Ovis aries: one gene and its partners. The protein of the gene in region 2 interacts with the protein of the main gene of each other region in a pairwise test. Links are inferred from orthologs where the notes say so. Each region holds a gene or a part of one and is shown on either strand. Other genes may lie near its edges.

The links.
Region 1: the proteins of HABP4 (region 2) and C1QBP interact in a two-hybrid assay, tested with the Homo sapiens proteins (2 studies listed by BioGRID and IntAct). The link is inferred for Ovis aries from reciprocal best matches to the Homo sapiens genes HABP4 and C1QBP.
Region 3: the proteins of HABP4 (region 2) and RACK1 interact in a two-hybrid assay, tested with the Homo sapiens proteins (2 studies listed by BioGRID). The link is inferred for Ovis aries from reciprocal best matches to the Homo sapiens genes HABP4 and RACK1.
Region 4: the proteins of HABP4 (region 2) and YBX1 interact in a two-hybrid assay, tested with the Homo sapiens proteins (2 studies listed by BioGRID and IntAct). The link is inferred for Ovis aries from reciprocal best matches to the Homo sapiens genes HABP4 and YBX1.

What each region holds. Positions count from the first base shown.
Region 1 is NC_056064.1:25,998,128-26,002,242, reverse strand, and holds the start of C1QBP (complement component 1 Q subcomponent-binding protein, mitochondrial), read right to left. Parts: upstream 2,849-4,115; 5' UTR 2,748-2,848; coding exon 2,525-2,747; intron 1,910-2,524; coding exon 1,759-1,909; intron 1-1,758.
Region 2 is NC_056055.1:29,686,986-29,690,289, forward strand, and holds part of HABP4 (intracellular hyaluronan-binding protein 4), read right to left. Parts: intron 1,110-3,304; coding exon 924-1,109; intron 1-923. UniProt on the Homo sapiens protein: Ribosome-binding protein that promotes ribosome hibernation, a process during which ribosomes are stabilized in an inactive state and preserved from proteasomal degradation.
Region 3 is NC_056058.1:38,114,227-38,118,369, forward strand, and holds the start of RACK1 (small ribosomal subunit protein RACK1), read right to left. Parts: upstream 2,836-4,143; 5' UTR 2,770-2,835; coding exon 2,661-2,769; intron 2,421-2,660; exon of another isoform or gene 2,353-2,420; intron 1,495-2,352; coding exon 1,323-1,494; intron 1,030-1,322; exon of another isoform or gene 951-1,029; intron 790-950; coding exon 642-789; intron 383-641; coding exon 287-382; intron 22-286; coding exon 1-21. UniProt on the Homo sapiens protein: Scaffolding protein involved in the recruitment, assembly and/or regulation of a variety of signaling molecules. Interacts with a wide variety of proteins and plays a role in many cellular processes.
Region 4 is NC_056054.1:17,201,263-17,203,933, forward strand, and holds the end of YBX1 (Y-box-binding protein 1), read left to right. Parts: intron 1-663; coding exon 664-898; 3' UTR 899-929; intron 930-1,763; 3' UTR 1,764-2,149; downstream 2,150-2,671. UniProt on the Homo sapiens protein: DNA- and RNA-binding protein involved in various processes, such as translational repression, RNA stabilization, mRNA splicing, DNA repair and transcription regulation.

The DNA of each region.
Region 1 (4,115 bases), on a different chromosome or scaffold from region 2:
TGGTTGCGAGGTACGCATGACCATTGTTATGTATGGGATCGCTCAGTTGCTACATGCGAGATCTTAGTTCCCTGACCAGGGATTGAACCCAGGTCCTCTGCGCTGGGAGCAGACACTTTGACCACCACAAAGTTCCAAAAGCCTCCTTTAAGAAAATAAAATGTACTTGGCTGGGCTGGGTCTTGGTTGCGAGGTGCATGTGACCTTTGTTGCTATGTGTGGTATTTTAGTTCCCTGATCGGGGATTGAACCCAGGTCCCCTGCACTGGGAGAGGAGAGGTTTAACCACTGGACCACCACTAAGTCCCAGGAGCCTCCTTTAAAAATCTTCCTCCATTAGAAGAAAATCTGCCTGAGAGGAAGAGAAGGAGCACCGGAGGGTTGTGGCATCAGCTGAGGATGGAGAGTAGCCCTGGCCCCAGGAAGGGGAGGCCTCACAAAGGACACCACATAGAGGAGTTCTCTGGTGGGCCAGGGGTTAGGACTTGGTGTGTTCACTGCCATGGCCTGGGTTTGATCCCCGGTCAGGGAACTAAGATTCCCACAAGCAGTGTGGCAAAAAAAAAAAAAGAATATGCTGCTGGACAGTTTTATTCTTCAGAGCAGATGTAGGAAGTTTAATAAATGACAAGGCAGGCCACAAACACCACCTAATGACAATTTTAACTTGCAAGAATCTTCACCTGACATATCATATTCCAAAATTTGAACTGAAAATTGAGTGACACTTGGAACGAGCACTGCTAGGTTGCAGACAACGCTGCCCTCTGAAGCCATGGTAACTGGCACCTTGACAGACAGAAGTTTGATGTACAGGCACAAAATCTGTCTAAGCTGTGACAGTGTGGACCAAACTGACCCCTGGACAGAGAAATGCAGCTATGTTCAGCAGCACATTATAATGGTCCCAAACTGCCTATAACTTCGCCTAGGAGAGTGGTTTGGGTCACGTTACAGACCACACAATTGATCTATGACGGGGAAAGCACTACAATACTAGGCAAAAGCACCAGCCTGCTGCTTCACAGCGCATGCAAAACTTCAAAGTGGACCGTGGATTTAAAACAGCTTAAGCAGGCCAAAAGCATCCCTCTTTTCTAATGAAAAACTATACTGCAACCCCACCCTGTTAATTATCTTGCTTTCTCAACTGTAAACAGAACAGGGGCTTTATTTTCCTCAGCCAGAGCCTGAGGGTAGTAGACCCAGCAGAGTAAATCCGATTCTGTGGGCAGTGCCGGAATCTCTGAATTTGCATGCCTAGTTGTGGGCAAGGCACAGCCTCACTCACCAGGAAGGGCTCAGTGACTGCTGCCTCTACTGGTCCAGAAGACTCCCAGTGGCTTGGCTTCAGTGCTACTGGGGTGATGTTCAGGCACTCAGTCGTGTCTGACTCTGCAACCCCATGGACTCCCTGCCAGGCTCCTCTGTCCATTGGATTTTCCAGTCAAGAATACTGGAGTGGGTTGCCATTTCAGACTCACACCTCCTCCTTTGGCAGGTGGGTTCTGGACGCCAAGCCACTGGGGAACCCCGCTACTAGCTTACTGTCTCCTTGTTAACCACCACAGCACATTACTGTGCAGTGAATAAGCAAAAAGGAGCCTAAGAAGTTATCCAAACGAATCATACCATCTCTGGGAAACCAGGAGTCAGTTAAGCACCTGTCTTAACTAAAAGTTGTTGTGGATACCTCACAGCAGGTCCTGCAGGTTTATGGATGTGGTCCCCTGGGCTCCATAGGCCCCTGGTACTTACTTTTCTCCAGCAACTTTCCGCACTAATTTGGCTTCCGTCCCATTCACTTCCAATTCCCAACCTCCTGACATTTTGGGGAGAGACTTATATTTCTGTATCTTCTTTTCCTCCTTGATCTCATCGCTGAGGAAGTCAACGAAAGCTTTGTCTCCTACAATGGAAATAAGTTACAGAAAGAGCCAATTAGTCTAAAATGGAAAATGACCCCGTTACTACAAGCAAAGACCAGGACTTAGCCTGTTTTTTCCTAATACTTCTATTAATGGTGGCTCTGTGGACTTAGCCCAACTCATATCCATTAAACCTCAATTCCTTCATCTGTAAAAATGTAAGCTATCAGTGGGAAGCTGAGCATGGATTCTAGGAAAGTGATCCCGAATAATGAACTTCTCACGACGTTTCAAAATAAAGCAAAAAAAAAAAAAAAAAAAATCGCCACTACCCTTTCACTTGCCAAGAAACATCACGCTACTTCTAACCGCGACCTTGGGCTTTCGCAAAGTTCCATTTTCGAGAGACTGAGGTAAAGCCGGCCTCCAGGACTTTACAGTATCTATCCCCGCAGTCAAACAGGGGTGGGGGAGGACGGGAAATGTTACTACGCGTGGGTTTAACTAGCAGGTCGACCATCACTGGGAGAATGTTCCGGACCTCAGGAGCGGCTCCGGACTGTCCATTCAGGTGGTCTACACCTCCCAGCCCCTAACACCCCGCCCCACCTAGGCCCACGCCCCTCACGCCCCCGGCCCACGTGCATGAGTCTCACCTTCGGTGTGCAGTCCGCTACAGCCGCAGCCGCAAGCGCAGGGCCCCCGAGGCTTCAGGAGGCCGGGCAGCTGAACCGACCCCGCGCGCACGCTCAGCAGCCCGAAGGGCCGGGCGCATGGCCGGGACGCGGGCTGCAGAAGCGGCAGGGAGGGTGCGGCGGCGCGGAGACCAGCGACGGCAGAACCCAGGACGCGGGGCACGCAGCGCAGCAGCTGGAACATTTTGGCAGCGGAGGCGGTGGCGAACACGTGCAGATTCGAAATACAACTCTCGCTTAGAAGGACAACTCCTTGCCGCTGCGCCCCCTAGATCTGGGACCGCCGCCGGAAGTCCCGCCCCACAGCCGGGAAGTGCTTCCGCGCCGCCGCCTTGCAGACCAGAAGGCACAGTGGGCAGGACCCTGCCCTCTGCTGGTGGCCTCCGGTGTAGCCTCCCAGGGAGGCTTGGAATCTGATTCCTAAACTTTAGTTCTGCAGCAACAGGAATCTTCAGGAACTAAAGAAGTTTAGGAATCCTGAAATGGGAAATCAAGTGGGCCTTAGGAAGCATCACTACGAACAAAGCTAGTGGAGGGGATGGAATTTCAAATCCTGAAAGATGATGCTATGAAAGTGCTGCACTCAATATGCTAGCAAATTTGGAAAACTCAGCAGTGGCCACCGGACTGGAAAAGCTGTTTTCATTCCAGTCCCAAAGAATGTTCAAACTACTGCACAACTGCACTCACCTCACACGCTAGCAAAGGAATGCTCAAAATTCTCCAAGCCAGGCTTCAACAGTATGTGAACTATGAACTTCCAGATGTTCAAGCTGGATTTAGAAAAGGCAGAGGAACCAGAGATCAAATTGCCAACATCCGCTGGATCATGGAAAAAGCAAGAGAGTTCCAGAAAAACATCTACTTTTGCTTTATTGACTACACCAAAGCCTTTGACTATGTGGATCACAACAAACTGTGGAAAATTCTGAGAGATGGGAATACCAGACCACCTTACCTGTCTCTGAGAAATCTGTATGCAGGTCAAGAAGCAACAGTTAGACCTGGACATGGAACAACAGACTTGTTCCAAATTGGGAAAGGAGTAAGTCAAGGCTGTATATTGTCACCCTGCTTATTTAACTTCTATGCAGAGTACATCGTGCGAAATGCGGGCTGGATGAAGCACAAGCTGGAATCAAGATTGCCAGGAGAAATATCAATAACCTCAGATATGCAGATGACACCACCCTTATGGCAGAAGGTGAAGAACTAAAGAGCCTCTTGATGAAAGTGGAAAGGAGAGTGAAAAATTTGCCTTAAAACTCAACATTCAGAAAACAAAGATCATGGCATCTGGTCCCATCACTTCATGGCAAATAGATGGGGAAACAATGGAAACAGTGAGACTTTATCTTCTTGGGCTCCAAAATCACTGCAGATGGTGACTGCAGCCATGAAATTAAAAGACGTTTGCTTCTTGGAAGAAAAACTATGACCAATCTAGATAGCATGTTAAAAAACAGAGACATTGCTTTGCCTACAAAGGTCCATCTAGTCAAAGCTATGGTTTTTCCAGTAGTCATGTATGGATGTGAGAGTTGGACTATAA
Region 2 (3,304 bases):
CAGGGGTTGCTCCCTGGAATAAGGGAATCGGCAGCAAAAGGAATATTTCCAAGATCAGCCACAAAGAAGGGGCTTCTCCATTCTCACAAGGACAGCATGGGTGCCTCTGCTGGCCGCTGAACCTTGTGCCCAATTCCCACTAAACAGGTATTGGTATATTTGTTCATAAAACACTGATGAAGCGTCTAGTACAGCTTATATTATACTAGGCACTGGGGAAACCAATCTGTCTTCTGGAGACAGCAGATGCTGACCAACAATTGTACCAGCGATAGTACAATTACAAATGCAGATGGTGCTTCAAAGAAAGGAAGGACTCTGACCTGGTCTGGAAGCCTCCTCTGATGAAGGGAGGTTAGAGGATCTAGCCTAGGTAAACAGGCAAAGGGGTAGGAGGAAGGCCAGCAGGCAGAAAGGCCCCATGGAGTAAGGAACAAGGTTGTCTGTCCCAGAAGTAGGGCAGTGTCAGCTAAAGAGTGGCAAAGAATGGTTTGACGTGAAAAGGTTGCCTTGAAGCTGTTGGAATGATTCTGTCTACACTGAAAGCTTCAGGGCACAGGGTTGCTTACACCGTAGTAAGCAACTGTCAGTTGATCTAATTCAATACCAGGCCTGGGGACCTCATCTGATGCACATGCGTGAATTTTTCTCCAGCTCTGAGTGTACAATCATAGCAGACAGACTTCCCTGGAGACCCGGGAGGCCAGGGCTACACAATGGTCTGTATCCAACTGATGCCCATCATGCTGATGACCATTCCAAATACTCTAACATGGGGCCCACACTAGACAGAGGAGAAAGAACGTCCTCTATCTAGATCAGGCCGAACTTGATGATCCTCCAAAATCAAACTATGTAGGCCCAGGGCATCTTCATCCTCTCACTTCAGAAAACCATCCAGGATTTAGAATATACACACTTACCACCACTTCTGCTCTGGGTCCATAGTTTTCTGCCCTTCTGATCCTTCCCCGGCCTCCCCGTGTGCCACCTCTGGCTCCACGCCCGGGACGAGGGAGGTTACCAAAATTAATCTCCAGCTGGGATGTGATGTCATTGGCCGCTTTCCGGAAAACGTGGGCATCATCTTCATAGTCATCCTTTACCATCTGAAACACAGTTACAGCATCAGACACAGAACGTACACACGGCCGTCTCCATGGACACTCGCTGGGCTGAGCAGGGGAAGATGCTGCTGCTGCTCTGCTTCCAGCTGCGTGGGTTTTGCACTTTGCAGCCACACGTTCTCATACTGACAGGCCTTCTTTTTTCTATTTAATGGGAGTGGCTGATTTACAGTGCTGGGGTAGTTTCTGTTGTAACCACAAAGTCAGCCCACTATTGCTGTTGTTCAGTCACTAACTCGTGTCTGGCTCCAACCCAATGAACTGTAGCCCACCAGGCTCCCCTGTCCTTGGGATTCTCCAGGCAAGAATACTGGAGTGGGTTGCCATGTCCTTCTCCAGGGGGATCTTCCCGACCCAGGGATCAAACCTGTGTCTCCTGCACCGCAGCTGGATTCTTTACTGCTGAGCCACCAGGAAAGCCCCTGTTGGCTATATAAATGCATAAATCCACTCTTTTAAGATTCTATCACCATACAGATTATCATAGAGTATTGAACAGAGTTCCCTAAACTATACAGTAGGTTCTCAATAGTTACCTGCTTTATACACAGTAGTGTCATAGTCTTAATTCAAGCATTTTTGAACTTACTTCAAGTCAGACCAAATTTCTATCAGTTTAGTAGGTTCAGATGTAAGATTTAACATGACTAACAGAAATCCTATAAATGTTGCATATCTAAGTGTATTTTGCTGAGACTGAAAAGTTTTAGTTCCTGCCTTTTGTTTTGTTCACAAATGCTACTTTGATAAATAAGGAAAATTCACCTTCCTAGAAAAGAACTTGATGGAGAAACTGCTCTCAACATGGGTACTGACTGTACAAATACCATATGTCAAAAACAGGATGATTTACAGTAAATAATTTTGACTCAAAATATATGGAAAGAGTAACAACAGTATGATTATCTAAGGGTTGCTACCAAGGCTGAATAAAGAACTCAGGCTGCTTTTTAAAAACCGCCTTAGTTAAAATTCTTTGAGAATATACATTTTATTGTATGGGGCCTTCCCTTGTAGTAGCTCAGATGGTAAAGAAACAGCCTGCAATTCAGGAGAGCTGGGTTCAATTTCTGGGTTGGGAAAATCCCCTGGAGAAGGAAATGGCAACCTTCTCCAGTATTCTTGCCGGGAGAATCCCATGGACAGGGGAACCTGGCAGGCTACAGGCCATGGGATCACAAGAGTCAGACATGAATCAAGAGGTCAAATTAGTTTTGTCTCTTGATAAAACAGTATTAATAAACCTTCAAATTTGATTTGGTTTCAATTCCTAACAACGAATGAAACTTCTCACTTGTAAGTAAAATATAAACCTACAGAGAAATATGAACCTGCAGAAAATAGGCCAATGATTACGGATGAGAATCTCCAAAGTGTTATACGGTTAAACATCCATTTGCTTGTCCAGCAAATGGAATCAAATCTCCCAGAGCACGTATTTCCCTTTTGGCCATATGTTTACTCCAGGCTTCATGTTTAACATTTGTGTCCTTAGACAGATGTACTCTTGAAGCTAAAAAGATGAAGGAAAGAACAATTCAGGAACACTTGCACTCTGACAACAAGATAAACACACAAAAAATGTAACAGGCAAAATAATAAACTACTGCCTGATTTAGAAAACAGTTGGCTATCCAGGCACCTCAGCAGAGACACAGCTTCCCAGTAAGAAGGCACAGCTTGCAGGGGAAGTTGAGTGAGCAAATTGCCAGGCCAAAGTGCTTTAAGGGCCCGCTCTACTCATAGGTTACTGTTAGGTCTTAACTTTGGCAAGAACAGAGCTCCAAGGAAACAAGAGGTATTATTCTAGTGCTTTTGTTCTCTTTAGTGTATCCAGAACAAAGTAGTGACACCACGATTTGGCTTCTGTCTCTTTAAGAACAATTCCTGGCTGAAATCATCAATGCTGTAAGGTTAATAAGTACCAAAGATGTGTGCCTTACTGAGACCAAGCTCCATGACTCAGCTAACCCAGTTGCTTCAAAGATTCCAGGAGACCTCTCTTAGAAGCCAGCAAAGATGAATCTGGTGTGGATTAAGAAGAACAGCTTCTATTTTTACTTAACATGTCAGCTGCACATTTCAAATCCTGACAGCACAATTGTTTTAGGCAAAACTTTATTTACAAAAAAAGTAAGTGGATAGGGAAAAAAAAAACCCAACCCAACTAGCTGATA
Region 3 (4,143 bases), on a different chromosome or scaffold from region 2:
ACAATTTGCCAAGTTCCATACCTAAAATTGTGGGTCAAAGGTGAAGAACCTGGGCTCTGGATCTATCAAGGTCAAAAAAAGGCATGGCACCATGCTTAAAAGGCATCCCTGGATAGGAGAGCCAATTTCCATTCTATCAGTGACAAAAAAGTCCAAGAATTATTAATCTTGGCCACTTACGGTCAGTTAAGGGACAAAGCTGATTCAAAGTTGATTATGACCAACTGGGAGGTAGTGGGAACACATTCTGGTTGGTAAAGGCCTCACGCCCTGGCTCCAAGCTCACCTTGACCAGCTTGTCCCAGCCACAGGAAACAATAATGGGATTGCTGCTGTTGGGCGAGAAGCGGACACAAGACACCCACTCTGAATGGCTTTCATCCTGCAGAGGATGGAAAGGAAATAAGGAGAAACTGTCTCGTCTTATGAAACTCGAGACCCCACCCTCCCCGCTCAGTTATGTGGGATATATATTCAGTATGTTGACAACCTGTATTCACACTTCCAGAACCCAAACCTTTAAGATAAGATAGAATCCCTTTAGGTTCCAGACGAGGCTTAAAATCACCATATAAAAGCACCAGTTAAGAAGGATGGGGGAAATGTTCAACATATGCTCCCTGCATGTGCCTTTACTTTACCTGGACAGTATATTTGCATACACCCAGAGTATTCCATAGTTTGATGGTTTTGTCTCGGGAGCCAGAGACAATTTGCCGGTTGTCAGAAGAGAAGGCCACACTCAGCACATCTTTGGTATGGCCTACAAATCGGCGAGTGGTGGTGCCCCTGAGAAGGAGGACTTGGTTACTCTCTAGAAAGACTGCAAACATTCTTCCAGTCAGGCTGTTTCCCTGGCCCAATTCCTCACCCAATGGAGCTGCGTTACCCACACCACCCTGGACATGGCTTTGATAAACGGCAGGCCCTTGGCCGAGAATATGCCAGAGAATCCCTTCAGAATTGCAGGACATGTCCTCACTCCCATGTGGGGATTGGCTGACAATGTCATCTGTCATCACCAGGATCCTCCATTATGCCTGACCACCCAAGACTGAGCTCCCAATATACAGTATGTTCAAACATGTTGTCTAGTCCCAAGTGCAGTATCTGATAAAACTGCTAAAACAGACCACTCTTCAGCAATTCTGTGTATCTAATTAAAAGCAACGGGGAGGGAGGCCGAACCACCACAAATATCTTCTCCAGGTACTGTGCCTTACAGTTCCCACTCAAGTACCCAATCACTACCCTGGGAAACCTGATGGTATCTACCTGCTTTCTACCCAGCTTTCCCCCAGTGCCCCAGAGCAGCTACTTGCGTTGTGAGATCCCAAAGGCGAAGGGTTCCATCCCAGGAGCCTGAGAGGGCAAACTGGCCATCTGAGGAAATGACCACATCACTAACAAAGTGGGAGTGACCCCGAAGAGCACGCTGTGGGATACCATAGTTGGTCTCATCTCTGGTCAGCTTCCACATAATGATGGTCTTATCTAAGGGCAGGTTAAAACAAAACAAACAAAAAAAAAGACCCAGTGAAAAAACCCCACGGCTCACCATCTGACCTTCTGGATCATAAACCAAGGGCATTTAGGGGTAGGGAAACTACCTAAAGGCTGAGAGTAGTTATTAGCCAAGTCCAAGTAACTTTAGTCAAGAGTCAAGCAGAGCTAAGTTGCACCCTGAGAATTTAACTCAGGTGTGTGAAACTTTACCAGGTTATGGATGCCCCTTTCGAAAATCTAAAACGATTCCACATCTATTTATTGGGCTTCCCTAGTAGCTCAGATGGTAAAGCATTTGCCTGCAATGCAGGAGACCTGGGTTGAATCCCTGGGTAGGGAAGATCTCCTGGAGAAGGAAATGGCAACCCACTACAGTACCCTTGCTTGGGAAAATCCCAAGAACTGAGGAGCCTGGTAGGCTACAGTCCATGGGGCTGCAAAAAGTCGGAGACGACTGAGTGACTTCACTTCCAGAATGCATGCACACAGCAGGCTGGATATGGAAGAGTAGCTGTGGGCCTCCTGAAACTACTGCTAAAGGATGCAAGAAATACTAGCAATAGAAAATCCACTTTAGGCGCTAAGGACTGGATGCTTTCACTGCAATGTGTTCCACTGAATAAACTTTCCTAGTAAGTGCCATACATGATTGTAGCCTCAGATGAACTATTTTTAAATAGCGTGAACGCAAAAGCAATCGCCAAGAAGTCTCCAAATGCAGTCAGGTACAGAGAGAATGAGAAGGAAAAAAAAAGGGGGAAGAAAGGGCTGCCCCGAAATAGCCGAGAGACTAGACACGAGGTCCGCCTTGGAGTCCACTTTTTAATGAGCAGAGGGTCCGGGCAGCAGCTCAGAAACAGCCTCTGGGTTTCAGCATAGGCACTCAGATGGCATGTTGGGATCATCACGGCGCCGCCCGACCCGAAGGCTCCTGGGCCCACAGATACATACACGGGTTTGAGAGGTAGCGATTAGAAAGGCCCCAGCCTTGCAACCCTCCCGGCAGCCAGCTGTTTCGGGGCTCGCCAAGTCGGGGACGCATCACCGGTTCATCCGCGATGAGGCCTAGGCACAGGTCAACTCACAGCCCACCGGCCCAACCATGTGACGCGCGCAACGACCCCTGCCCCTTAATCCAGCACCTCAGCCCGTACCTCGAGAGGCGGACAATATCATGTCCGGGAACTGGGGAGTGGTAGCGATCTGGGTCACCCAGCCGTTGTGGCCCTTGAGGGTGCCACGAAGGGTCATCTGTTCAGTCATGGCGACGGAGAGTGCGGGTGTCGCCGGAGCGACAAGGATGGAACTGGATAACTCAGAGAGGCGACCCGCACAACCGCTTCCACCGCGGCCCTGCAGAGGAAAAGAGAGAACCGCCCACGCCGGATCCGGAAATACCCGCCCTCTCGAACGAAATGGCGCCCTCCCATAATTCACTTCTGCTCAAGGTGGCAGCGCCATGTAGTTCAAAGGGAGAGATAAAAGAAGACTTCTGGTCCAGACCGTCGTACAACGTAATTTGGTAGCACCGTACAAATTCCCTTATTAAACCAACATGACTGAGTATTTAAAAAGGCTCCTTATGGTAGGGGAATGATGTCTCAAAAGCGTCAGAGAGGAAGTACACGCCCCAGAGCTTAGTAAGGGGAGCCTAGTGGCTTCACTGGCCTTACGTGGCACAGTCTGAACCCCTCCCTTTCCGCTTGGTGGCTCGGAGGGCATCGCAGAGGGAGCTTAATTTCATGGGCACAATTGTGAGTAACGGTGGGCGATGTGAATAATACTATATTAAAATTTCAAAGTAAGCTGCGTTCAGGTGAACTGTTAAACCCTAACAAATTCCATGCGCGGGCGGCGACTCTTCCCTCAAGAGGTTTATTCACTAATGGTGTTGGGTGAAGAAAGACAGTCCACCCAGGACTAAGGCAGGAATGGGTTACAGAGAGGAAAACCGGGAATGAAGGATAAGTTAGTCTGTGGGCTGCTGGACAATAAACCCCGCTCCCGCCTAAGCAGGAGCGTGGAGAGCTCTCGCAGAAACTGAAAGGCTTCAAGAGGAAGGTTGGCTCGGGCAAAACCACCTCATAAAAAGGTCCTTGGGTCTGGGTGTCTAGACGTGCCCAAGTATTTCTTTTCTGTTTGTCACGTGTATTATTTTCTCATGAAATGAGATTGGGAATAATAGTACCTACCTCACACGGTGTGGAGAGTATATTAGATAGGTAAAACACCCAGAGAGACCCCTGGCAAAGCAAATGCACAGAACTTAGTGAGCACCTCTTGGTTACCAGACGCAATTTTAGGTCTTGGGAACATAGCTGTGAACAGGTTAAAAGGGACCTGTTTCTTTGTTTTTTGAGTTTACATCCAATGAGATGGGGGAAAAGAGCTCAAGGGGGAGATTTTTAGCAAAGAAAGATATAGGAGAGATCTTTCGGGATTTATGGGTGGATGTTCCAATCCGAGGAAAGAATCAGTGCCAAAGTTCAGAGCTGGAGCGTTGAAGGCCCTGGGGACCAAACCAATGCAATGGGGGTGGGGGTGGCAGTTGACAGAGGGCCTTGCAGGCTGCTAGAAGGCCTGCCTTTGGGAAGGAACAGTGTGGGACAGTGGCAAAGCTTCTACGGGCTATGGCTA
Region 4 (2,671 bases), on a different chromosome or scaffold from region 2:
CCCTCCCCAGTGTGATTGTTTTCAGCTCTCCTGGTGTGTATGAAGTGGTTTTGATCTGCCTTTCCCAAACTAATGGTTGCTGTGTACTTTGATTTATATGAAGATAATACCTTTTCTCTGGTTTTGATTTCTGCTTTTTTTAAAAAAAACAAATGTTCATCTATAAAGTTTAGCACTTGTTTCCAAACCTGGTTAGTTTAATACCCATGTTTTTAAATAGCATTAGGGTATTGATGGTATTGTACAGCTTTAGTCCTTTCATGGCTAACTTTGGAATAGGTTATACTATGGGTATTTTGAATAATATGAGTGTGTTGTTCAGTCACTAAGTCATGTCCAAGTCTTTGTGGCCTCATGGACTGCAGCACTCCAGGCTCCCCAACCTTCACTCAACTATCTATGAATATATTGGGTATATATATGGATATATTGGGTAATATGAGACTGTTAAAATCAGTTTTAAACGGTCATCTTAGTTTACACTTCCAAATCCTTTTACCAAGTCGTCATACTCAATTTGTGAAGTAAAAACCAAGTTTACTCTTTCAGTTTTGATAAATTGCCTGCATACCACTTGATAAACAGAAAGAGCAGATGTGTTGACCTGGTGACTTGATTAAAGAAAGGTTTTATCATTGCAAGCTTCCACAATGTTCATTCCAGGGGCCCTCCTCGCCAAAGACAGCCCAGAGAGGACGGCAATGAAGAAGATAAGGAAAACCAAGGAGATGAGACCCAAGGTCAGCAGCCACCTCAACGTCGGTACCGCCGCAACTTCAATTACCGACGCAGACGCCCAGAAAACCCTAAACCACAAGATGGCAAAGAGACAAAAGCAGCCGATCCACCAGCTGAGAATTCGTCCGCTCCCGAGGCTGAGCAGGGCGGGGCTGAGTAAATGCCGGCTTACCATCTCTACCATCATCCGGGTAAGTAAGCCTCGATGGCCCTCTGGGCAGTCATGAGTGATGTCCATTAATGAAAGAGAGGAAAACCCAGTTCATCAGGTAAGGTAAGCCACTCAAACTTACAGTGTCTTCTACCCAAACTAATCTTAAGATGACTTGAATGTCATTTTGTTAATGGATTGTATATCAGAGCCATACTTTGGCCTAGCTTTGCATTGTATCTTTTGTATTAGGGCTTTTTTGTCAACTTTCTTGGATGATTTTAATGTAAGCTGGAGAAGGAAATGGCAACCCACTCCAGTATTCTTACCTGGAAAATTCTGTGGACAGAGGAGCTTGGTGGGCTGTAGTCCATGGGGGTTGTTAAGAGTCGGACATGACTGAGAACACACACAAACACCAGTAAGCTGAGGAAAGTCTTGCTGACTACAAGTAATTACGTTATGAGATTCTTCATTTTCAAAAATAAGTGGGATGGCTACTCAGATTAAAAACGTAGGTGATGATGACCAGGATGGTCTGTTTACGTGGTGGCTTTGGCATTACATCATCAATTCTAAAATTAAGAGGATTCCCTTTTTACTTGATTCTAGGAGACATGTATTTGTCTCTGTTTGACTCTAGAATTATCATTTTCAGCCAGTGAGACTTTTTCCCCCTATTTTGAGTGTCAAAAGGTCATTCAGAACCTATGAGTAACCATTCTTATTATATAGTAATGCCCACTCCTGTTATGAACTGCTGTGTAAAGGTAAACCAGTATGAGATGTGTTCCCTGCCTAGCTAATTTGATATACTGAAAGATTGCAGTGAACTATAGAAGGTAATTAGAAAACTTCTTTTTCTCTCTTACAGTTTAGTCATCCAACAAGAAGAAATGAATATGAAATTCCAGCAATAAGAAATGAACAAAAGATTGGAGCTGAAGACCTTAAGTGCTTGCTTTTTGCCTGTTGACCAGATAACTAGAACTATCTGCATTATCTATGCAGCATGGGGTTTTTATTATTTTTACCTAAAGACGTCTCTTTTTGGTAATGACAAACGTGTTTTTTAAAAAAAAAAAAAAAAGCCTGTTTTTTCTCAATACACCTTTAAAGGTTTTTAAATTGTTTCATATCTGGTCAAGTTGAGATTTTTAAGAACCTCATTTTTAATTTGTAATAAAAGTTTACAGCTTGATTTTTTCAAAAAAAAAGTCAACAAACTGCAAGCACCTGTTAATAAAGGTCTTAAATAATTGTCTTTGTTGTATATTTCTGCCTTGCTTTTTTAGTTTACAAGTACTTAGCTGGTTATTAACTTAAATCTCTGCAGATAGGTGATACTTAGTGGTATTTACTCAAGGAAATGCTCTTAAAATGTGTAATCATTTGTTGAGTAGCATACCTGTACTGAAAATTAGAATTTGCTACGATAATCTGGCCATTTTCCATTCAGTGAGTTCCTTTTACTGGGAGGCAGTGGTAAAGAGAGGGCATGTTCTAGTGGAGACTAACAGAACTGTGAGTTACTTCAGCCTGCAGATTGAAGGACACCCACCTTAGTTAGCAGATGTCTGCCGCAGAGACTGCTGTACTCAGTAAACACAGCTCAGCTCCTTTACTTGGGTACTAGAGATGGTAACCACAAATGATGGAATGCTTGTGGGAAGGCTGCTTAAAGAATATAGAGGTCAGTGACATTCATTTTGTCCTCAGCACCCTTGTAACATAAGCGTGTTCCATATTTTATAGTGTCTTACTTTCCTTTATGGAATAATT